Drosophila melanogaster: one gene and its partners. The protein of the gene in region 2 purifies or fractionates together with the protein of the main gene of each other region. This does not show direct contact. Each region holds a gene or a part of one and is shown on either strand. Other genes may lie near its edges. The genes, in order: CG5568, CG1806, Hexo1 and Synd.

Evidence for each region.
Region 1: the proteins of CG1806 (region 2) and CG5568 purify together in Drosophila melanogaster (affinity purification with mass spectrometry, with the first as the bait; one large-scale study listed by BioGRID). This does not show direct contact.
Region 3: the proteins of CG1806 (region 2) and Hexo1 purify together in Drosophila melanogaster (affinity purification with mass spectrometry, with the first as the bait; one large-scale study listed by BioGRID). This does not show direct contact.
Region 4: the proteins of CG1806 (region 2) and Synd purify together in Drosophila melanogaster (affinity purification with mass spectrometry, with the first as the bait; one large-scale study listed by BioGRID). This does not show direct contact.

The regions. Positions count from the first base shown.
Region 1 is NT_037436.4:5,869,749-5,874,023, reverse strand, and holds CG5568 (uncharacterized protein), read right to left. Parts: upstream 2,524-4,275; 5' UTR 2,427-2,523; coding exon 2,259-2,426; intron 2,203-2,258; coding exon 1,691-2,202; intron 1,640-1,690; coding exon 682-1,639; 3' UTR 506-681; downstream 1-505. Other genes in the region: CG18586 (uncharacterized protein), read right to left, coding at 1-166, 224-391.
Region 2 is NC_004354.4:12,005,266-12,010,416, reverse strand, and holds CG1806 (uncharacterized protein), read right to left. Parts: upstream 3,242-5,151; 5' UTR 3,016-3,241; intron 2,251-3,015; 5' UTR 2,148-2,250; coding exon 1,713-2,147; intron 1,648-1,712; coding exon 1,521-1,647; intron 1,395-1,520; coding exon 1,243-1,394; intron 1,177-1,242; coding exon 845-1,176; intron 786-844; coding exon 632-785; 3' UTR 513-631; downstream 1-512. Other genes in the region: CG1492 (uncharacterized protein), read left to right, coding at 1-323.
Region 3 is NT_037436.4:4,287,083-4,291,727, reverse strand, and holds Hexo1 (hexosaminidase 1), read right to left. Parts: upstream 3,088-4,645; 5' UTR 3,027-3,087; intron 2,821-3,026; exon of another isoform or gene 2,679-2,820; 5' UTR 2,634-2,678; coding exon 2,557-2,633; intron 2,483-2,556; coding exon 1,848-2,482; intron 1,768-1,847; coding exon 678-1,767; coding exon of another isoform or gene 659-677; exon of another isoform or gene 616-658; coding exon 549-615; 3' UTR 517-548; downstream 1-516. Other genes in the region: CG15012 (uncharacterized protein), read left to right, coding at 1-41, 105-214; TfIIEbeta (transcription factor IIEbeta), read right to left, coding at 3,437-3,694, 3,751-4,041, 4,102-4,264, 4,340-4,444, 4,517-4,578.
Region 4 is NT_033777.3:20,830,809-20,838,829, forward strand, and holds the start of Synd (syndapin), read left to right. Parts: upstream 1-1,990; 5' UTR 1,991-2,065; intron 2,066-3,588; exon of another isoform or gene 3,589-3,657; intron 3,658-4,416; 5' UTR 4,417-4,419; coding exon 4,420-4,523; intron 4,524-5,066; coding exon 5,067-5,176; intron 5,177-6,776; coding exon 6,777-7,114; intron 7,115-7,226; coding exon 7,227-7,453; intron 7,454-7,516; coding exon 7,517-7,637; intron 7,638-7,704; coding exon 7,705-7,815; intron 7,816-7,867; coding exon 7,868-8,021. Other genes in the region: CG31223 (uncharacterized protein), read left to right, coding at 380-408, 468-1,623.

The DNA of each region.
Region 1 (4,275 bases), on a different chromosome or scaffold from region 2:
TGAAGAAGCATGCATATGCCACAGCTGATTGGTGAGTCGTGTGTCTGCCCATGACCCCCACTATATCAGTTTGCCCCAAGCCCATATTCCTCATATAACTAGCCACTCGCATCGCATTCATATGAAGATCTTCGCGGGTGAGTACGATGTCCTCCGTGATCGAGATCTGGTGGTTCAATGCAAATCTATACATTTCTCTGATTTCGAGAGAAAAGAAACTCACCTGGGCAATGAGTTTCGGATTGTTTACCATATCCCCAAAGATTATCTCTCCGATTGATAAGTTTGGCGAAAATAAACTTGGTGCTTCACGACCACTCCAGATCTTGAGTTTATCATCATAAGTGCACATCGCGTTCAATAGTTTTTGTTTTACTTCCATTTCAGCCATTATAAGAAAATGCTGAGTCGATTATTAGTTTTTAAGTAAATTATGCTATTATAACCCCTCGTATCAGCAATGCTATTTCACAGCAATAATGTACATAATTACGAAAGATCAGCTGTATTAACGATTTTGTAATCGATATGTGTTTCGGTATTATTTTACTCGGCGAATATGAAAAAATGCCTAAGATGGCGAACCTCTTAAAAAGCTTACGATAAATACAACAAATACAAATACAAATACAATAAAAATACAAATACAACATAAACATTACAATAATTAAATATGCAAAACTAATTCTTCTCCATAATTCGTAAAAACTCAGCTTTTGTGGCCGCTCTGTTTGCTTTTCTATTGCCACTCTGAATAATGTGATCCACAATCAAAGCTCCTCCATTCAACTGCTTAAATTTGGCAGGTATACGTTTCCTCACATACTCCACAACATCCTGGGCCTCTAGTTGGGTTCCTTGTTTCTTGACCACTGAAGCGGCTGCCTTATCTCCATAAACGGGATCCCAAATGCCAAAGACACAAGCTTCCACAACATTTGGCATTTCAGCGATGACACTTTCAATCTCGCTGGGGTAATACATGATGGTCTGATACTTGAGCATATCCTTCAAGCGATCGATAATGAACAAATATCCATCCTCGTCCATGTAGCCCAGGTCCCCGGTGTGAAACCAGTTCTCCGAGTCCTGCATCTTCTTCGTTTCTTCCGGATTCTTGTAGTAACCAGGCCATTTCTGACCATTATTGAAGCATATCTCGCCCACGACATTGGGTCCTTGTGCTTCACCCAGCTCGTTGACTATTTTGATTTGAATGCCTCTAACCGGACGACCCACTGAATTGGGTTTCTCATCGAAGTTGAAGTTTAGGCATCCGGGGCTGTTCAACTCGGTTAGTGTATAACTGAAATTTACACATTCGTTGCTTAGACGGCTGCGAATTTTGTTCTGGACTTCCAGTGAGCAGTTTGATCCGCCGTAAAAGAAATACTTCACGGATGATAGGTCCGCCGCATAGAATTCCGGGCAATTGGACAGCATCGCCAATTGCGAGGAACTTACGAACACCATCGATATTCGATACTTCTCAATTAGGCCACACAAATTGGCAGGATCAAAGTCACAATCTTCAATTATACTAGTCAAGCTAAACACGGCTGCATTGATGGTCATCGTGATGCCTGATGCCCAATCCAAAGTGTTTGGGTTATACTGAATAATCGAGCTATCCACGGGTCTGAAAATAATAAATTAGATGGGTGTATAAAATTAAGGTGGTAATATTTACAGAAAACTCCCAATAATCTGGTGACTATTGCTAATGGTGACTGCCTTTGGAAGGCCGGATGTTCCCGAAGAGCTAAGAATGGCCAGTAGTTGATCAGTACCGTCTTTCAGTCGCACTGGTCGAAAGTTCATCTCCACGGGAGTGGTTAAAATATCCTGAATTCTCAATATTCCTGCCGGGTGATTACGCATGGTTACTATTTGTACCTGAAGGCCTTTGGTGGCTGCTTGAACTTTCTCAAACTCATCTCCATCACAGAAGATTAAGCGTGGCTTGGTTATTCCGAACAGTCTCTCGATGGCAGATTGTTCGTATTCGGTGTGTAGGGCATGATAAGGAGTTCCATTAAAGAAACAGGCATAGGCCAGAGCAGTCAAGTGAGTGGTCAACCTGCCAATGACTCCCACAAAGTCACCTTGCTCCAGACCCAGTTTACGCATATAACTTGCCACCTTCATCGCGTTTGTCTGGATGTCTTTCCAGGTCAGCTCAGTGTTTTCTGTAACTGAAATCTAAAGGTTTTGTTTCGATGAATATAAATATTGTTTCTTGTAAATTTATTAAGTACCTGGGCAGTGAGCATAGCATTGCGCTCCATTTGTTGAAAGATAATTTCTCCAATGGACAAATCTGGTGAGAATAAACTGCGTTTTTCGCCACCACTCCAGATCTTTAAGTTTTCATCAAAGGTGTTTCTTGTCTTAAAGGGCGATTTTCCCGCTTGCAATTCACCCATTTTGTATAATACGTTAAGAATTAAAATGAAGGCTTATAATTTATATATCTCTCTAACTTCTGTGATAGTAATACCATAAAAACGAAAGTGATAGACGCAAGAACTCGAATTTAAAGCTTCAAGTTAGGTCTCACCATTATCAACTGACTTATTATATCGATATTTCTTTGAGCTAAGAAAGAGATACTAAAAGTTTTGTTCATAAGTGAATTTATTTCATCTACCAATCAATTATTCCGTCACTGTTGCCATACTAATCATATTTACTATTTATGTTTACTTAAGCAATGATTAATTGCCAAGACTGTTTTCATGACCGCTGATAATCCGATTTTGAGATTGCATCCCATAGTAAAATACTCAAAAAGATGTCGAAAAGTGTTTCAGCAAATGGTCAGCTGGGCTGGACTGGAATCTCCACCACCACCAACAATAAGATTATGATAATGGGCAGCCGTCAAAGAGAGGATTATGGGTTTTGGAAAACAAGTGGATTAAGGGGTTGACAATTGGGGGAATGTGCTGTCAGGAATTTGGCTTTTGCGTTTTGCATTTGTTTTTACGATTATGACCGACATGGATGGATCGGAATCGAAATCGTTCAGTTCTGCTCTGTCCCATTATGATGCGCTATTTTGAGTGACCCTGTCCTCCGCAAACATAGCGAAACTAATAAGTAAAATGTGTTTTTCAAACATTGATTTCGGCCAGTGCGTGGTGGGTGGTGTTTTAGGAAACACACACACACACACCCCCTTTTCGAGACGACAACATTTGTCATAAGGCCAAGACAGCCTCAACAGTTGTTGGCGATTATCATTTTGACAGTTGCTTCTCGCTTCGCTTTTGTTTCAGTTCCCTTGGCTGCGTTTTGGGCCTTGATTTATGCATTTTTAAGCGGTTCACTTATTGTTTCTGCGCACAAATATGGCCAAGTATCTCGGTATCTGCGAGATACAATCCCCTAGTCAGCCCTTGCCGCGTAATTTGTTGATTTATTGCAAGGCTGCCACTGCAGGCATCTTCATTAAGCAGCACTAGCTTCCGTTTTTTATCCGGCCACGCCCGTCGTCTTGCAGCGCCCACGATTCGCTTTCATTATCATTATCCTGCCGGCATTGTCCTTAGCCTCGTTTGTCATGCTCGGTGCGTCTGCTTAAGTTTTCGCACGCTCCAACGCCTCGGCTTCCTTGGCGCAGCCTTCAAGATGTGGAAATTGAATTGAAAACGTGCTGAAGCGTTAAATGCTCTTGTGTCAACTGCTTCCAATCCACCCAAACCTCCTCGCCCCCAAATGTCCTTCTGTCCATCACATTTCGTCCTGTGTGTGTGGCGACATATGAGAATTTGTAACCTCAGCACAAGCTGGTCCGAAGTTGCGGCTGCGTCGGCCGTTCTCCGCTCGCCCCCCAAAAAGTTCCCGGCCAAGTGGCAAGTGGCAAGCAAGCGGGCCATAATTAATTCCAAATTGCATCCGCAAAGGATTGCCAAGTTTCGCTGGCCAAAACTTATCGAAGGTACGATGCAGAGTGTGTTGCTTAAGGGATTACCGAAAATCTGCTTTTCAATATTGCTCATCTCTTTAAGAGCTAAGTAACTGTTCAGGAGCAAGAAAATTCTTACCCAATGTAATTTATTTGTAATTTTTTTTATATTTATAGCCTAAAAGTATGCTATTGCGTTTTATAAAGTTCCATATTTGGCCGGTAATGATGATGGCGCTATTCTACTTTGTACTAAAATTATATCGGCGACATCTAGCGAACATTGTGTGAAGTCGCAGCAGCTACGAAACGCCATCTGCTGGTCGAGCTGAGTTTCATAGCTATTAAACTATGTCAGTCAGAAA
Region 2 (5,151 bases):
GCAACGTTCGCTTGGTTGTGGGTGCCGCTGGCGGTACCAAAATAATCTCTGCCCTCTCTCCCCTCCTCGTGCGCATCCTGTGGCAGGAGGCAAGCATCAAGGCCGCCATCGATGCCAGCCGCATCCATCATCAAATGCTGCCCAATGTTCTGCTCTACGAGTATGGACTACGGCAGAGCTATGTGGATAGCTTGGCGGAGAGGGGACATCGATGCGAGCGTTATGAGAACCGCGGTTCCGTCATCTGTGGAATCGCTCAAGCTAACGACACCATCTGGGTGAACTCGGATTTTCGGAAGCCAGGTGGAGTTAGTGGATTTTAAAAAAGTCGAATTCTTTTCACAAACTATACCAAACATATAGTATTTACACAAAGTATTAATTATGTTTTCCAGCAGAAACTTATTCAAACACGTTAATTGCTCAAATATGAATGAATTAACAAATTATTTTTCAATAAGTTAGTATTTAGTTTTTTTTTAGATGCTATCGCACGAAAGCAAACAGTATTTGTTTTTAAACGTTGTGTTACTTTAATGGTACTTAGATATAAAAAATAATTTATTTGTAATTTGTATCAGTTGCTAAAAATAATTTAAGTAGTATGTTGAATTTAAGTTACAATATATCCCTACACAGACGTGTAAAAGTGTTCTCGCTTGCGGTGGCAACAAATAAATAACGTTATGTATAAGAATGTTGCAACAATGCCCAAAGTGTTGAGCGCCATGGAGAAGGCGAGCAGATACTTCCATTCGATCCGAAGCTCGGCACAACCATCGTTTCTAGAAATGAGAATATTCTCAATGCCAATGTTTAAGTATAACTGCAGTTCGAAACTTACTGTGACGCCTCCTCCTGACCAACTGCAAATGCCATTGGAGCCTCGGAGGAGTAGTTGGCCACCACCTCACCTGCCGCCAAGCAGGTGCAATTGTGATAGCTAAGCAATGAGCTCGATGTTGGTCCACATTCTCCGTCTGCGGATGAGATGAGCTCCGCGAACTCAATTGCCGCACAGACGAGGGCCAAGCAGCAGAAGATCAACGCCAGGCCAGTGAACACATACGACTCGGCCAGCAGGACCTTGTAGCAACTATTGGTCTGCGGTCTGTGCTCCGTGATCTTGTGATCCCTTCGCAGCAGTATGAGCCCCGCAATGCTGGCCAATAGCAGCTGAGCGAGAGGTAAGTTCATTCTTATTATACATACTAATCCAACCATTCCACACATTCATCTTACCGACAATCCACTCAGATACGGATTGATCAATATGGACGCATTGGGGGCTAGGATTAGTATCCAAACGGCAAGACCCACGATGAACAGGCCCACAGCTAATTGCATAACCAGAAGCTGGCGAGATATATTCAGATTCCTGGTGGCCTGGAGACCTGTACATATAGCCAAACTTTGAGTAATTGAAATCGAAATGTGTTTGTTCTTTGCCAAATCAACAATGACTGTGTGACACCCACACACTCCATCATATAGCTTCGCTAGACAGCTGGTGTACTTACTGTCGTGGTTTTTGTGATTGACAACGATCATGCGGCTGTGCCTGAGGCTGTTGCGAGTTGGCGTATGTCGTCCGGCGATCTTCATGCCCTTCATGTTCTGCGGCACTGTGGTGCTCATGTAGACGGCCTTTTTTGGGATAAGAGTTGGACATTTGATTTGGACTTTGCGATTGCTTAGATGGCGTCAATTACCTGCGATGCCTGCGGTGCTTCCATGTCGCTGAGTGGAATCTGTTCGTAGGTGGTCGCATAGCGCAGTGCCCTACTATGATCGCTAACTGGAGCCGTCGGCTGTGCTGGTTGCGCTGGAGGATCGGGAGCAGCCACTGCCGGCAGTTCGTCGCGTTGCGGAACATTTTGATATCTTGGCTCCGGTTTGGCAATCGTCGTCACTGCTGCACTCTTACTGGCCATGGGTGACTCATAGTTGTTGATGCCGAAGAACTTGGACTTGGCATCGTTCAGAGCCGCCTTCACAGCGGCTATGCTATGGCTGGTGTGGCTGCCATTGAGCTCCACTTCGACTTCCGTTTCCGGTTCGCCAGCCATTCCGGCCGTCAGCTGCCTGGACTGAGAGACGCCCAAGTTGTCGTAGGTGCTCACGGGACGCACTTGCTGCACTGGCATGACTTCCCAATCGCCTGGCTAGATGGACATTCCGGAACTAGGAGATAACCAGGCGGAAGCAGCGCTCCAAGTGCTACGAGCATAGTACTCTCGGCTGCATTCGCTGCAAGAAAAATGTTTGTTTAGTTAACAAAACTGCAGCTACATATATGAAATATGAGTTCTTAAATAATCAAGTAATGCTTCAAGGTTTGTTGTTTTCAATAACAATTCCCACGCCTCTGGATATGCAACTATTTTCGTAAGTAAATATGAGATCCTAAATGTTTATATTTTGAGATTGCAATCTTATCAATATATTATTATTTAGTTTTTGTTATATTTTAGCTGTTTTTGAAACAATTTCTAGTTCTATTAATTCAAAGCACCGGTGCGTTAAGATTAGTCATTTTTTTCCGGTTTCATAGATTTTTCCGGTTTTTAAATGGGTCGTTGGCATCCCATTGATGATGCTCCCAATCGGCGAGAGGGAGATGCAGACATCGAGAGCGTGACAGAGAGAGAGAGAGGGAGAGAGAGGAATGATAGTTATTCACAAATTCCAGAGAACGACGATATTGGTATTTGCTGGTTTCGTTACTTGGCCAGGTTGTTGGAACTCTCAAAATTTCTGGGTTCTACAGTTACGGATCGCTGAACCGGAGTTCGTTTAATGGGAAAATACGAAGATATTTCTGCCGCTGTACAATCGATATATAAACCTCTGATTGCCAAACTCCACTACTTTCGATCTATTTAGGGACACACACATATACACACAAGCACACACATAACACACATCGAAATCAACAAAAAACATTTTTGATCGTCGGTTGGGCGGGCCAGACTAAAAAACTTTACAACTTTATAAAGAGCAAACTTGTCGTACCAACAGAAAAACGAAAATCCGATTCGGAATCGTTGCGATGGAGAACAGCGAAGGCGGGGAAAGCAGCGTTCACAAAAAAAAAAAGAAAAACTGAACTAAAAACGAACTGAAATCAAAACAAAATCGAACTGAAGCTGAACTAAAAAAATAATAAAAAATAAAAATATAAGCGGATTGGACGGATCGTGAGTGCAACTGTACGCACCAAGAGGCGAAAACAAACTAAAAATAATTCTCATCGAGCGCTTTAAAGCGAGCCATTTCCACTTATGCTCTCACATCTATGCATGTATGTGTGTACACATATGGCTACACCTCAAATACCTGAACGCACAGGTACTGCCCAACACCTCGCTCTCACTCTCTCCTACTCTCTCTCCCACTCTCTCTCGGAGAGGTAGCGAAACCCAAGCTGAGATCGCTAGAGAGAGAGAGAGTTGGGAAAAGTGCGGTCTTGTAGAAGGCATTTTAGCCAAGGTTAAAACTATTGCCCACTTTCAGTGTGTGGAAAAGCAACAGATGCTTTTCCACATTTTCGGTTTGCTGCGGAATGTGGATGGGGTAGAGCTGATCCCAGAAGAAACTAATAAATATTTAAATATATGTGAAAATATTTAATGAGTATATCTTACATCTGAGGTTTGAATATTTGGAGAATCATTTGAAGGTGGAATTTAGTGTTAATATGAATATGTATCTCCCTTTAAAATTGGAAAATATAAAAATTTTCTGCAATTATGGTCTTGTGTTATTTTATAACGCTCATGAAATTATCATGAAATTATCGCCTAATTGCGTTTTTTATCACACCATTTACATTGATAATGAACTGAAAACTTTTGAACCCATATATTTAAACATTGAGAAAATTGGCTTGTTATAAAATGTATAGCATTTCATAAGATATATGAATATAATATAATTATAGTATCTATTAGTTTATAGAACAAGCCTAAGATGTCCAGGTTTTGCCAACATTTAAATTTGTATAATATTTTACCATAGATAGATCATAAGTATTTCGTTAGTTCTGTGTTCGAAATGTAACTTGTAGATAAATTTCACCTAACACTAATTTGCCATTTAACTGGATTTGCGTATATATTAGCCGATATTCGCAAGCTTGATTATACTAAGCTTTCGGTTTGGACGGTTCAGCAATAAAAAGCTCTTATTCAAGTTGGCAAGACGTTAAGACGTTGATTAAAATGGTTAGTACGGTAGGTTTTGTTGGCCACTCTTTTGTTTAGCCCTCGATTTCAAGACCGCTGAATTGCTTTGTAGTTGTCTTTGCATTTAGCAGTTAATCTAGTTATATCATTACATAAAAATGTTAAATAATATATGCCAACTGAAGCATTGCAATGCTGCTGGCTCAAAAGACCATAAACTGACGTCAGATGGGTGAAAAAAAAATAGGGGGACTGTTTTCACGTCGAAGATGACGACAAAGCCTGGTCAACGGACCAATGCAACTTTGCGAAATGTTGCGGAATAATGATAATAAATTGTTAATCATGCGCAATGTTGGATTGAGAATGAATCGAAAATGTTACGTTGACAGATATGCGATTTCAAAAATTCCGCTTCCCACAAAAAGCTGAGAAATTTGACTTCCCTTTTCCGCTAGCTGAACTATAATCGCCAGTTTCGTTTATAGATTTTTCTTTATAGTTTCAGAGCTTCGTTTTTTGTTGCCAAAATAGCACTTTGTCATTGCGGTATATTGAACCTGGAATTAGGACAACTATAGAAATAAAATCCGAAAGTCCGTTCGTCACCTTTTTAACTTGTACAATTTGCCACAGTTTGCGACTTAGAACGTTGGGCATTGCCAATTATCGGTATTAAAACAGAATACGGCTACTATTATGATCCAGTTTTAGTACGGGTTTTAAGTCGCACTTCTTTCATTAACGTGTACTCGGCTTGGGTTACTTTGCTGGGAATCAACTAGCCAGCGAAGTTTTGAAAACGTGGAAGCCGAAGTTTGTATACCCTTTTCCCAAAAATTATAACTACTGGAGCTAAGATTTTCAGTTAAGATAATTCTTTTCTTGTGATAGAATATTAAATTGTGTTTAAAAATAACCATTTTATGGAGCTTTCGAGTTAGTAAACTTATAATTAAACTTA
Region 3 (4,645 bases), on a different chromosome or scaffold from region 2:
TGCCGCCATCTGGGTGATGATCGACGACTTCATCAACAATGGTGAGAAATAAACAGATATTTAAGGATTCCTTAGCTGAATTGCACCCACTTATCGTTTTTCAGAAAAGAAGGATGGCTGGTTTGGCGTGGCTCTGCTGATGCAAAACGTCTTCATCCTGTTCGCCAGTTTGGTCTACAAGTTTGGACGCAACGAGGAAGAGTGGAATGAGTAAAGCTTCCATTCAAATTATTGCACAAGGGAACGCAGCTTTTAGTATCTAGACTCATTACGTACATAATCAGGAGTCCAAGGAGTTTATGCTTGAGGCCGAGGACACCATCACTCGCAAATCCTCACCCCACACATTGAAGCGTAAAATGTCCAACTCTGCTACTGTTCATATTCGAAAAAATCGTCGAGTCTGTACGGATTTCCCTCACTATTTCCGACATTCTGCCGCTTTGAATCGGAAAAGGGCGCAGAGCAGGGCCAATAATCTCATTTATATTTAACAAAATAAACGACAAGTCACTTGCGTAAGGCCACCTTTGAGCTGTACTTTATTTTCAGGCAGAGAGCGTTGTGAGAAGCAACAGGACGATCAACCCAAGCCGCCCGCTGCCCCGACTACATCTACAAGGATAGCGACCGTTAAGAGAAATGGTTTAATAGCTGGTCAAACTTGTGCATCGTACGCGTCAATGGGACACTCGTGCTCGTTTTGCAGGCACCACTGCGGCTGCATGGCCTCTGCGCCCAGACCATTGTCCACCAGTCGCTGGCGGTGGAGCAGCAGACGTGACTCCGCCTGGCGCCAACCTTCGGCAGGATTTGACCAAAGTCGTTCGGCCAGGGCACTGGCCCTGGGCCAGAAGCGGTTGTCCAGTGTGTGCTCGTCGATCTGCTCTGACCAAATGGCTCCCTCCGCGCCCAATACATGATGCTCGTAGTCGCCGGCAATGGATTTCAAACTATTGTCGTACACCTTCTGCCAGCCAATGTAGGGGGAGCACCAGTTGTTTCCATCGGTCACCCAGCCAGCTCCGCCGCAATCCAAGTACAGGGCATCGTAGTTGGACACAATGATCTTGTAGCCCCGCTCCAGAATCTTCTTTACCTTCGGATCTACACCAGTGGTCCAGATCTGAATGATGTAACGCTCTGGGTTCAGATACTCGTCAATGAAGGGCTCCTCAGTGAGTCCACTAGTCCACAGAATGATGGGCGTGTGCGTACCATTGGCCACCTTGTCCACGCGACCAAGAGCCTCCGTCTGGAAGTGTCCCCACAAGCGCATAAAGTCGGCGGTCTCCAGGCCCCAACCCTGTTTCTTCATCCACTGCTGGATGGGCTGGCTGCTGTTCCAGCAGCTGGTTGACACTTCATCGCCGCCCATGTGGAAGATATCCGGGTTGAACTGATCGAACATGGTGCCGTAAATGTCCTCCAGCACATCGTACATTTCGTTCACAGTGGGATCGAGTTGGCCACACGGTGGCTCAACGCAGAACGACTTCCATGGCTGGGCATTGAAGCAGGCGGTCATGTTCTTGTGCTGCCAGCCCTCACCCACATGGGCAGGGGCATCGAACTCTGGCATAACACGGATGCCTCGCACGCGGCCGTACTCCACAACCTCGGCCACGTCCCGACGGGTGTACACCTGCCGTTGGGAATAGGCTCCCAGCTTGTGCAGCTCCGGACGCTTCTTCACCTCCAATGGGAAGCTGTGCGAGTCCGTGATGTGCCAGTGGAAGGTGTTCAGTTTGACCAAGGCCATGCCCTCTAAGGAGGAAAAAAGGATACTCATAGAGTCAACGGAAAACATAACCCTCCCCTGCCTCTTTCCTGAACCATTGCCTTACCCAACGTCCTCTTGATGGACTTCACAGAGTAGTAGTTACGGGAGGTGTCCAGGAGCAATCCACGCCATTTGTACACGGGAGCATCGTTGATGGTGGCATTGGCAGTCACCTGAACCTCGCGGCGGATGTCATCGTAGACAATCAACTGGGCTAGTGTCTCCAGGCCATGACGGGCTCCAAAGAAGTTGGACGCGGTTATGTTGGCCAGCACATGACCCGAGGCATCCGTATCAATGTCCAGCGTATAGCTCTCATCCGTATCCAGGGTGAGTCTGGCCGGTGTCGGCTCATCCGGAGTATTGATGTTCACAGACATACGGTAGCCACCTCGTGCCAGAACCTTGCGATCCGGAATCTGGGCTTCGAGCATGTTCATGAAACGGTCTTCAACCGCTCGCCATAGCTTCTGCTGGCGGGCAATTCCATTGAAATTGAAATCAATGAAGGAGATGTCCACTTGGCGCATCAACGTGTCCAGACGCACAGTGCCCGTCGGTTTGGGCCACAAGGTGCCGATGGAGCTGCCGCAGAAGAGCCGGCACACGGGCAGACTGATGGCCTTGACGTAGTTCTCCTCGCTGAGCTCTACCTTCTGGCAGTAGCCACTGCGGCACTCGTAGCCGTAAACCAAGTCACTGGATGCGGGAATCAAGTCAAAGAGAAAGTCAGTGACCTAATCTATATAGCATACGAGGTTTGATTTACTCACTCCGAGCTGTGGGCCGCCAGTTGAGACACCAGGGCCAGGAGCAGGGCCACTCCAAGTGCAGTCCGCGTCGACTTCATTTCGTCAACCTCAGCACAGAAACTCTCAAAACCAACTGGCGAATGCTTCGGGAATGATAATTAAACAAATTGAGTATTTCAAAACAAGTTTTTGCCGCCGAGTAGAGAGCTCATTGTCCGTGCCAAAGAGTCAAGCCAAGTAAACAAAGAATCGGATTTCATGCAAGTCCACTTATGAATACCCTATCTTTTAAATTGAACAAGTTAGAGGACGAACGATAGTTTGCAATATGACTGATTTACGAGTCGTATGAGCTATATTTTTGTCTATACTGAATATCGGATCTCTTGTTATAATCTTAATAGATTACAAATAGCAACACAATCTTTTTTTAGATTTGTAGAGTCCAATATATAGATAATTTTCCTGATAAGCCCGCACAACCGCCGTACCAAAATATAGGTTATTCCAAATCGATTCCAACTGAACTTGGCTGCTGTTCAGTGCAGACTAAAGCTACGGCTTCCCTCTGTTGCCAATTTAACTGCCCACCAGCATCGATTCTGGCCCTCGTACACGCACACCACCAGCCATCAGGTGTGGAAAGCAATGGGGAATGTCAGGAAAAGATTACATAGTTTTGCTTTTTAATTATCTTTCCCTGTGCCGGTCGTCATATTTTTAAGTTCAATGCCACAGGCAGAACAGCAATCTGGTACTATAAATCTTGAGGAATGAGATTTCGGCCACAGCGGATTCTTAATTAGATTGGCAGTGGTTAAACAAATTTATAACATCCAGTTTCGAGTGTACTTAATTCCATTGAGAGTGGTTTTTATTTGTATAATCTAATGTCTCTATTCTACGTTGGGTTCACACCCTTCAGCGTTAGTGTGTTATCCTCGTAGACCTCCAGAACGTCGGCCAAATGTTCGTTGTCTCTGGGCTTCTTGAACTGCCGCTTCTTGTTGGCCGCCTTCTTGCGCTTGGGAATTGCTTTCTTGAGGCCATGGTCCTGCATGGAGCGAATGCCCTGCTTCTCGAGGTACTCGTCAATCTTGGCGTCGTCCATTGCATCGACCGTAGCCGAGCGCCATAGCTTCTGGAACTCGTCGTCCACCTGAGACGGTACAATTGATTAGGCTGGGATTTTAGAAGAGTGTGTTTATAACCCACCGAAAAATTAGCAGTCCTGTCATTGTAAAATAAAATCTTCTTTTTGTCAATGGGTCTAACAACAAAAAGTATTTCGGCTGATCGGTTCTTCAGCACCTTTTCGCAGTGTGGTAGAGATTCCTGGACATCGTCCAGCAAAATGCCGCCCAGGCCCTTTAAATCATGTTGCTTGAGCAGACGCATCAGCGTTTTGCCATCCTTGATCTTGTAGACTGGCTTGAAACTGAACTTGGTGCCACATGGACTGGCTTCCACCTTGGGATTGTTGTGCAGAGCCTCGCTAGCAAGCCACTAAAATAGAGGAATAATGGTTTAATAACCTGCCACAACTTATCACGCACTGTAGCTAACATTCTTAACGGATTGCCCAATGTCCAGCTGGTTGGTCTCGTCCAGAATCTCATCGATGGTCAGGGGATGGTCGTCGCCGTCCTGGTGACGTGTGCGCATGAATTTCACAATCTTGGCCAGCACTCCAAAGCGGTACTGGGAACTGCCGGACATGGTCTTGTATCTAAGTATGGAATGCAAGAGTTCCACATGGTTAAGAACCATTTCTGGCAGTAGCAGAGGCTCTCAAGGAACTTACGTTGTGGCATCCAGCCTGGGAGCATTGGGCGGGCGCATTTTGCGCCTGGAATCATCGCTAGGCGGCGGTGGAGCTGGTCTATCGGGCTTGGACTTCTTTTCCACGCTATTTTAAAAGGATAGCATGTAATTTTCGAGAAGCAATCTTTATCAGAGGGGCCACAAGTGCGGTACTCACGTGGGCGTGGCCATCGCCCGCTTTTTGAAGGCCTCGCGTTCGCGAAGCAGTGCTGGATCCATTTCGAATGTTTTTTTTTATTATTTAGCTCTACGAAAAAAAACTTTCTGCTGCGAGAAATCAACAATT
Region 4 (8,021 bases), on a different chromosome or scaffold from region 2:
AAATAATATATTATTATTCTCTTTTCATTGATGTTCGTAGTTGATAGGTGTATTGTTTAGTTACAACGAATTTTTGTAAAAAGACTAACTAGTTAATATTTAAATATATTTTATCTTTAAGGTTCATATTTGATATACATAGTTATTTGCTAATAAATTCCTATGTAAAAAACAAGAGAAATTGCGTAATTCAAATTAAATCCAACTCTTATAATATCTAAGTCGTATAATTTGTTTACAAACAACTTTATTTTGTTTACAACAAAATAAAAACTTATCCATTTGAAAAGCCGTTACTTAACGAATCGTGGTTACGGTCACACTACAGCGATCAGCTGTTGGCGACCGCACTATTTTGTTTATTCCATTTTGTTTGACCATGTCGGAAGCCGATGAAAAGTGTCACTTGTAAGTAGTTAACAAGTAATATTAATTATAGCGGTTCAATATATATTAATCTCCTGCAGCTGTCGCGAGGTGTCCTTCAAGTACACCTGTCCCAAGTGCAATGCTTTGTATTGCAGCGTGGGATGCTACAAGTCCAAGGAGCACCTTAAATGTTCCGAGGCTTTCTACAAGTCCTGCATTCAGGACGAGCTGACCCAAAACACGGTAACGCAGGAAAGCCAGGAGGACATGCGGAAAATATACGACATACTGAAGAGGATGAGAGAAACGGACAGTGGTTTCAATCCCCAGGAATTTGATACAGATGGCCTGGAAAATAGTTTGGACTCGGATGGAGGCGAGGAAGGAGAGTCAGAAGAAGATGAGGCGGAAGAAAACGTCACCGAGGGGGACATACTGGATGAAGACCTGGAGGAAGACATTGCAACTCGACTGAAAGGCGTTGATATCAACGATGCGGATGAAGTTTGGAGCCGGTTAACTACAGAGGAGCAAGATGAGTTCCAGAAATTGATCACCAATGGAGATATCATGAAGCTTATGCCAGACTACAAGCCCTGGTGGATCAAGCCGAAGAACTCTAAGATTGTGATTATACCTACACCCGAAGAAGCTGCCAAGAAAGAGAGCCGTGTTCCCGAAATTTTCGGGAGCATTGCCAAATTCTCCGATATATGCAAGAAAACTCCGTCTCCGTGCCTGCACTACAATTTGTGGAACATACTAAGCGCCTACGCCTGTGTGGCTCGTTTCTTTGGCGGCGAACAGAGGACCAATGCCAGCGAGGCAGTGGCCCACCTTGTCAATCTCAGCGCCACCTTAAAGTACGGCACCAACTTCGAGGATGCTGAGGACGCTATTGTCTCCGTAGAGATGGAAGCCATCACCACGGGTAATGGTCCTGCCGGCGCGGCTGCAGTTGGAAGTGCTGCAGGAGGTGCCAATTTCCTCGTCGACAACAGGGAGCAGCTGCAGCAGGATGCCCGCCAGTTGATGGCTACGAAGGAGCACAAGTTGGCCGCCCTTAGTGATGTTCTCTATCTGCTGCAGCAGACGAAGGCAATCAGTCGCCGTAAGAATACCCAGGAAGCCGAGTTCCAGAAGCTGTTCGCTTTGGCCAGCGGAAGTGTGCAATTGGATCGCACCAAACTGGCGCAACTGGTTCGCAAAATCGAGTTTATGCTGTCGTATGTGGCGCGGGAAGAAGTCCTTTAAGCAATCCTCTAAAATAAACATTTCAAAATAATTCTGTTTTTATATTGTCCACAAAATTTGGAGCGGTATTGACTATAGATTGATTGTTATTTTATTGTTTTATTTTACTTGGAATTTAAATACAACTATGTATAATTAGTGTACACATTTTGATTGGAAACTTCAGTATTTTAAGGACTTAAAGAACAAATTGGTTTAAGTAAAACTTGACTTTGTGCTAGTACTGTAACTAGTACTTAAAAATATGTACAGATGTCTTAAAAATAAATGTATATCCTAAATACATTTCGGTATTTTTGTATTCGTATGGAGCGGTATTTTCAGCTAGCCGCGAGGTGTATTTGAATGGTCGCGAAACGGTCACACCTCACATAGTTTTTTTAGTTGGCGATTCCAGACACACACTCGAGTTGTAGTGCTTTTTTACGCTATTTTGTTATTGGTAGGTTGTCGCCCTGCTTCGGTATGAACAAGTGCCAGAGACCCAAAGCCAAGGATTATTTAACAACCATTTAAATGCAGTGCAGCTGCAGCAGCAGCAACAACAAAAGCGATCGCAATTTAGAACAGAACATTTCATGTAAACGCGTTTGGGTGTAGCGGAATTTCGCTTCCCGTGTGTTTGTGTGACCTAGCCGAGCGTGTGTGCGTGTCGGTGTGCGTCTGGCAACAACAAAATCCAATCGGCCAGCAAGTGCTCTTCGTACGCTTCGCCTGCTAAAAATTAGTGCACAGCGAAAGCATTTTAATAGCAGCGCCCCAAGAAAACCTTATGTAAGGTGTGCTGGAAAACGATGCAAATATTTACAGTAGAAACGGTCGAGACAAGTTCAATCTCAAAGATAAACGAGTTTCTTGGTTGTTTGGCGGAGGGGGATTTCTTATCGCCTAAGTGTGCGACGTGTTGGTTTAGATGTGCATATACGTATGTGTGTGTGTGTGTGTGGCGCGAGTGCTTGTGAGAGCGCCGTAAAGGTGCTTATCTATCTCCACAAATATGCGAAGTATGCGTCAACCTGTTTGTAAACTTTCTGCTGGCCATTTCCACACGCAAAACACGAAAATCGCACTGAGCCGCGATCCTATATTTATATTTATAGCCGATGATGGGGAAAATCCGTAAGCGCATCGTGAGTCGATGACGCCCAAATCAAGTCAACCCAAGATACAAGATTCCACATTCAGCAGACCCAACATCACCAATCTACACATGTGTGTAGGTGATTAAACTTCAGCAGAGGTTATTATACATATATAAATAAGAAAGCATGTATATAACCGGTCAATGCTGCTGATAACATAACCGTTATTCACCATACGGGTGTGTGCGAGTGGAACTCAAACTGACTGCATTGTTTACAAACAGCTGATGCAGGGAAACTCCACTCCACTGATAAGATACCAAGATTTCCCATCGCCGAGTATGAAAAAATTTAGCTCGCTACACAGAGAGAATTGAAATGTTAAATGTTGTCACACGTAAGGGTCTCCAATACGATGTACACTGCTGCTCTTAGGTTAGACGCACAATCGTTTTTTTTTTAACAAAATCGATCATTTATTTGCATGCTTTTTTTAATTGTCCAAAATGCTTTTCTTATCAAAGTTTTCTGTTGGTCATTGAATTAGATGCAGCTTAAATTTCTTCGTATTGCGTGGACAAGTATAAACTGTTGTATTGAAAAAATATAACAAATAAACGAATAAAGTGTTTTCGAGCTACATTTGAAGAAAAAATGGGTAAAGCTGCTGCTTATTGGAACGTCAAAAAGTAGACTTCCTACACTCGCAAGGATTGCCTAATCGGAACATTGCCAAACAGATAAATCGCAGCTGCAGAACTGTTGATAGATATTTGAAGGTTCCAGAGGCATATGGGAATAACTTCAAAGGAAAGAAAAAAGCACTATCAAAGCAAGCAGAACGCCAAATTGTTAGAATTGCTTCGAATTCTAATTTTCGAATTTGTCCGGAGTAAAAACAAGCGTATCAACTGTTCAGCGTACAATCAGAAATGCAGAACACCTGAAGCGTGTATGTATATTAAATTTCAAATTCAATTTTTGGGATCTCATTTATCTGGGTTACAAAATATGGGTGCATGAGAATTCCCTTGATAAGATGAAACTATTACGGTGGAAAATGTATGCTACACAGAAAGAAAATCTGTCAACATTATCTATTTATCTCAAAAAACAGAAATAATATTTGAAAGCGATACTAAAAATAATCGAATTCAAAATAAATTACAAATATTTATTTATCTTAATATGGTTAAAAATATGTTTATTTTTTAGTTTCGAAGAAAATTTTTTCAATTAAAATAAGACATTACCTTAATATTCCAATTTGAAAATAGTAAACCCATTGGCAGAACACCATGCAAAGTTGCACAATGAGTCAGGGGTGATAAGTCCAGTCTTTATCAATGGGGACACTCGGCGAAACCGTCAAGAAATATGGTCGTTGATAAGGCTCCAGTAATTAAAGTTCTGCCTGTTGCATCAATGTGAAGGAATTTCTTAATTGAACAAATTAGGCAAACAATAAATTTACTCAGAGCCCGTCTCGTTTGGGTTTACTATAGTATGTCGTTTAACAAACGATTTGTTGGTCTTAGCCAAACACTACAAAAATACAAGTTTGCGTATAAACAAAGAGCTTTTTGTTGTTGCTGCTGTGTGGAAGTTGTTTATGTCTGCAGTGTCTATTTACGTAACAAAACTCATATTTTACGATTATTGCGCTTAAGCCCGTCGTATGTGATTGATTAATATTGATTGGAATCCACAGGAAATGTCCCACCACAGCGATGATCAGCTCCTCCAGGCTGGAAGCGATTCCTTCTGGGAGCCCGGCAACTACAAACGCACCACCAAGCGGATCGAGGATGGTTACAAGTGAGTGGATAATCCCCAGGGAGTCTTGGTGCACAGAGAGATACTTTATTTTGCCATTATGTCAGTCGAATTCCTCGACATAATACAATTGGCTTAATATTCAAAAACATATTCGTAGCTGCAACCCAATCGTTTTTCAACGTTTCTGTCATACCAATTGGTATTGGTAACTGTATCTTTTCTGTGTGTTTAGTAGGTCATGCAGTGTCATCACATTGTTTTGAATGCAAACTTACAGCAATTCGTATTTATTTAAGGGAAAAAAATAAGAAAATATAAAGACCTTGGTATAAGCATTGGTCTTAGTATTAACTCAATTTGTTCTACTTATGTGGACATTTCATAAACTTTTTTAATGAGCTTTGATTTCTAGTGATACAATCAATCTTTTTAAGCAAATAGGTAATGGGTTCTCTCTGTGTATTTGCACTGGGCGACGCTGGGTCATTGCCAGCCGAATATATCGACACCCGAAGCCCAAACCCAAGACAAAAATTCAAACCGGTTTGCATTATTATGATTCTTGTCTCATTTCGCCCGCAGACTCTGCAATGACCTACAGCAACTGATTCAGGAGCGTGCCGACATCGAGAAGGGATATGCGAAAAGCCTGCGCACCTGGTCAAAGAAATGGGGTGAACTCATTGAGAAAGGTAAGTGAGCGGCAGGTGGGGATCTGGTGAGATATGGGGATGTGGGTGGCTGTGGCCTGTGGGATGAGACATCATCAGTCGTGGAAGCCTTCTGTTGGCCAACACATTCATTCACGAGCTAAAAGCCCAGTGGAGCATCAAGTGACCCGCTCACGTTGAATTCCCACCACTTATTTGGCCCACTGGCTGTTCTTATTTTCTACATTCTGTACATCATTCTGAGCATTGTTGTTGCCGTTGTGCGATAAGTGGCTTAAGCTATTAATGGTTTTTTTTACGTTTTTCGTTACCTCGTTTTTGTCGGTTGTATTCTGCAAAAGCTGCGCACTGTGGTTCAAAATCGCCACACCAATTTATTTAAGTATGTTAATGAGCGGGGCTGGCAAAGTGTTTGGATTAACTAACATAAACATATGCATACACTCTTCACACTCTTCATTCTAAACAATTAAAATTCGGCAGCGGAAATCTTAAGTTTGTACAAGAGAAAATAATAAATAAATAAAGAATCAAATATCTGTGGGTTTCTGCTTTATAGTAATATACAATTTTTATTTTTTGATATATAAGTTATATGGGTTCTTAAGGTTTTATTACCTTGCTATTGCCTCATATATGTACTTCTATAAGTACACACTACCAAATACTATTTTCGAAAACGGCGGTAATCATCGACTCACTCATTGTTTTCGGAATTGGGTCTTTGACCATTTTTAGCGGATGTCCGGCACAGTGTGCGCGCTTCTTCGTAAAATGAAATCGAGTACAGCGCTTGCGAAGTTGGAAACCGCTTTGCCCCATTGGTACTGTTTGCTTCTATTGCTGCTATTTTCTGTGACCGCCTCTGCACGGAATTCTCAGTGTCCACTTTCACAGTAACCAGCGATGGGCAATTGCAAAAGCGACTACCATCACTTCCTCCGCCTCCGAGTGCTCTTCGAGTTTTCTTATTTGCGAGGAATTTGCCTAGCCGCGTCTAGCCAAAGATACAGATACGAATACGTGTGCAGATACAAATACAGATACAGATACGTTCACAGTTACAGATACGGAGACTGGGAGGCAGAAGCGCTGGACAGTGGCCCATAACTCGGCACCAAAGCAAACCGGCACCAGAGCGTCGCTTGAAATGGTTTCAAAAATCAATGCGACGAGAAAATAGAACGAGTTATTTGTGTGCTAAGCGTCTCAATTTCTATATATCTGTTTGTGTGCCTTTTCACAGGGGGAATTGGGAATAGTGAGTCGTTAGGCAAACGAGTTCCGTGCACTGCCAATTATAAGACGAGCATCATATCAACTTGATTGCCGTGTGTTTGGGGTCCCAATAAAAAATGCCAAAAATGTACGATGTTCCTCCATCGCAGCACCCATACAAGCGCTTATTCTTCGGGCATTTTATATTTGCTATACCTATAGATATGGCTACATATGTATGTTTGTATATATCTTGCGGCTGCGGCTGATTAGATAAACCAAGTACCCGCGGGGCTCACGATGACGTCAGCCGCAAACAGCTCGACAGGGTGACACGCTTGTAATCTGTTGTTAATTGAGAAACGCTAAAAGAGATATATAACGAATGTCTGATTTGTTTCAGGCCCGGAATACGGAACCACGGAGGCAGCCTGGAAGGGCGTTCTGACGGAATCGGAACGCATCTCCGACGTTCACATGAAGATCAAGGACAATCTCTGCAACGATGTGAACAGCCAGATAAAGACGTGGCAGAAGGAGAACTACCACCACACGCTTATGCAGATCAAGGAGCGCAAGGACCTGGAGGATCTGTTCAAGAAGGCCCAGAAACCCTGGGCCAAGCTGCTGGCAAAGGTCGAGAAGGCCAAAGCGGACTACCATTCGGCCTGCAAGACGGAGCGCAGTGCTACCAATCAGGAACGCAATGCCAATGCCGATAGCTCGTTGTCGCCGGATCAGGTAAGGATCTTTTTTGTAAAAGCAATAGTTTAGTTATACATATGTATGTATAACTATTAATTTAATTTATTTATTAATTTTATGCTCACACCACTTCTCATTTCCTAATTAGGTGAAGAAAATGCACGATCGAGTGCAAAAGACCAAAGATCAAGTGCAAAAGTGCCGGGAAAAGTACGAGCAGGCGATTGCCGAAATCACCAAATACAATTCGGTGTACATCGAGGACATGACATCCGTGTTTGAAAAGTGCCAAACCTTTGAGAAGACGCGTTTGCAGTTCTTCAAAGAAATCCTGTTCAACGTGCACTCGTGCCTGGACCTCACAAAAGTGCAAAGGTGCGAATTGAATTTGATTTGAGTTTAACTGATCCATTTAAATAACTTTTACATGACTTACAGCCTGCCCCAAATCTACGAGGAGTTCTCCCACACGATCAACAATGCAGACCAGCAGAAAGACCTAAAATGGTGGTCGAACAATCATGGCATTAACATGGCCATGAATTGGCCATCATTTGTGGTGAGTTTTCTGTTTTTACTGAAGCCCAGTGTGGCCGCTAATGGAAGAACTTCCTATTTGTTGACAGGAATATACGGAGGAGTTCCGTGACATTGCCAAGGGCAACAAATCAAAAGAGGCACTGCCGGCAGCACCCATCACGCTCATCAACCAGCGACCTGTGGCCGAGGATGTGCACGTAAGCCAGTTGACTACCCAGTAGTTAATATCAGACTAAGCCAGCTCTTTAGCAGGAATACCCCCAGACAAACAGCCTGAAGAAGAACACCAGCACCTTGAGCAGTGTCAGCAGCAGAGCGAGTGTGAAGAGCGAAATAGCGACCACGCAATCCTCAGTCACCACATCGGAAGCCAAAACATCGGCGGCGGTTGCCGGCGCTGCGA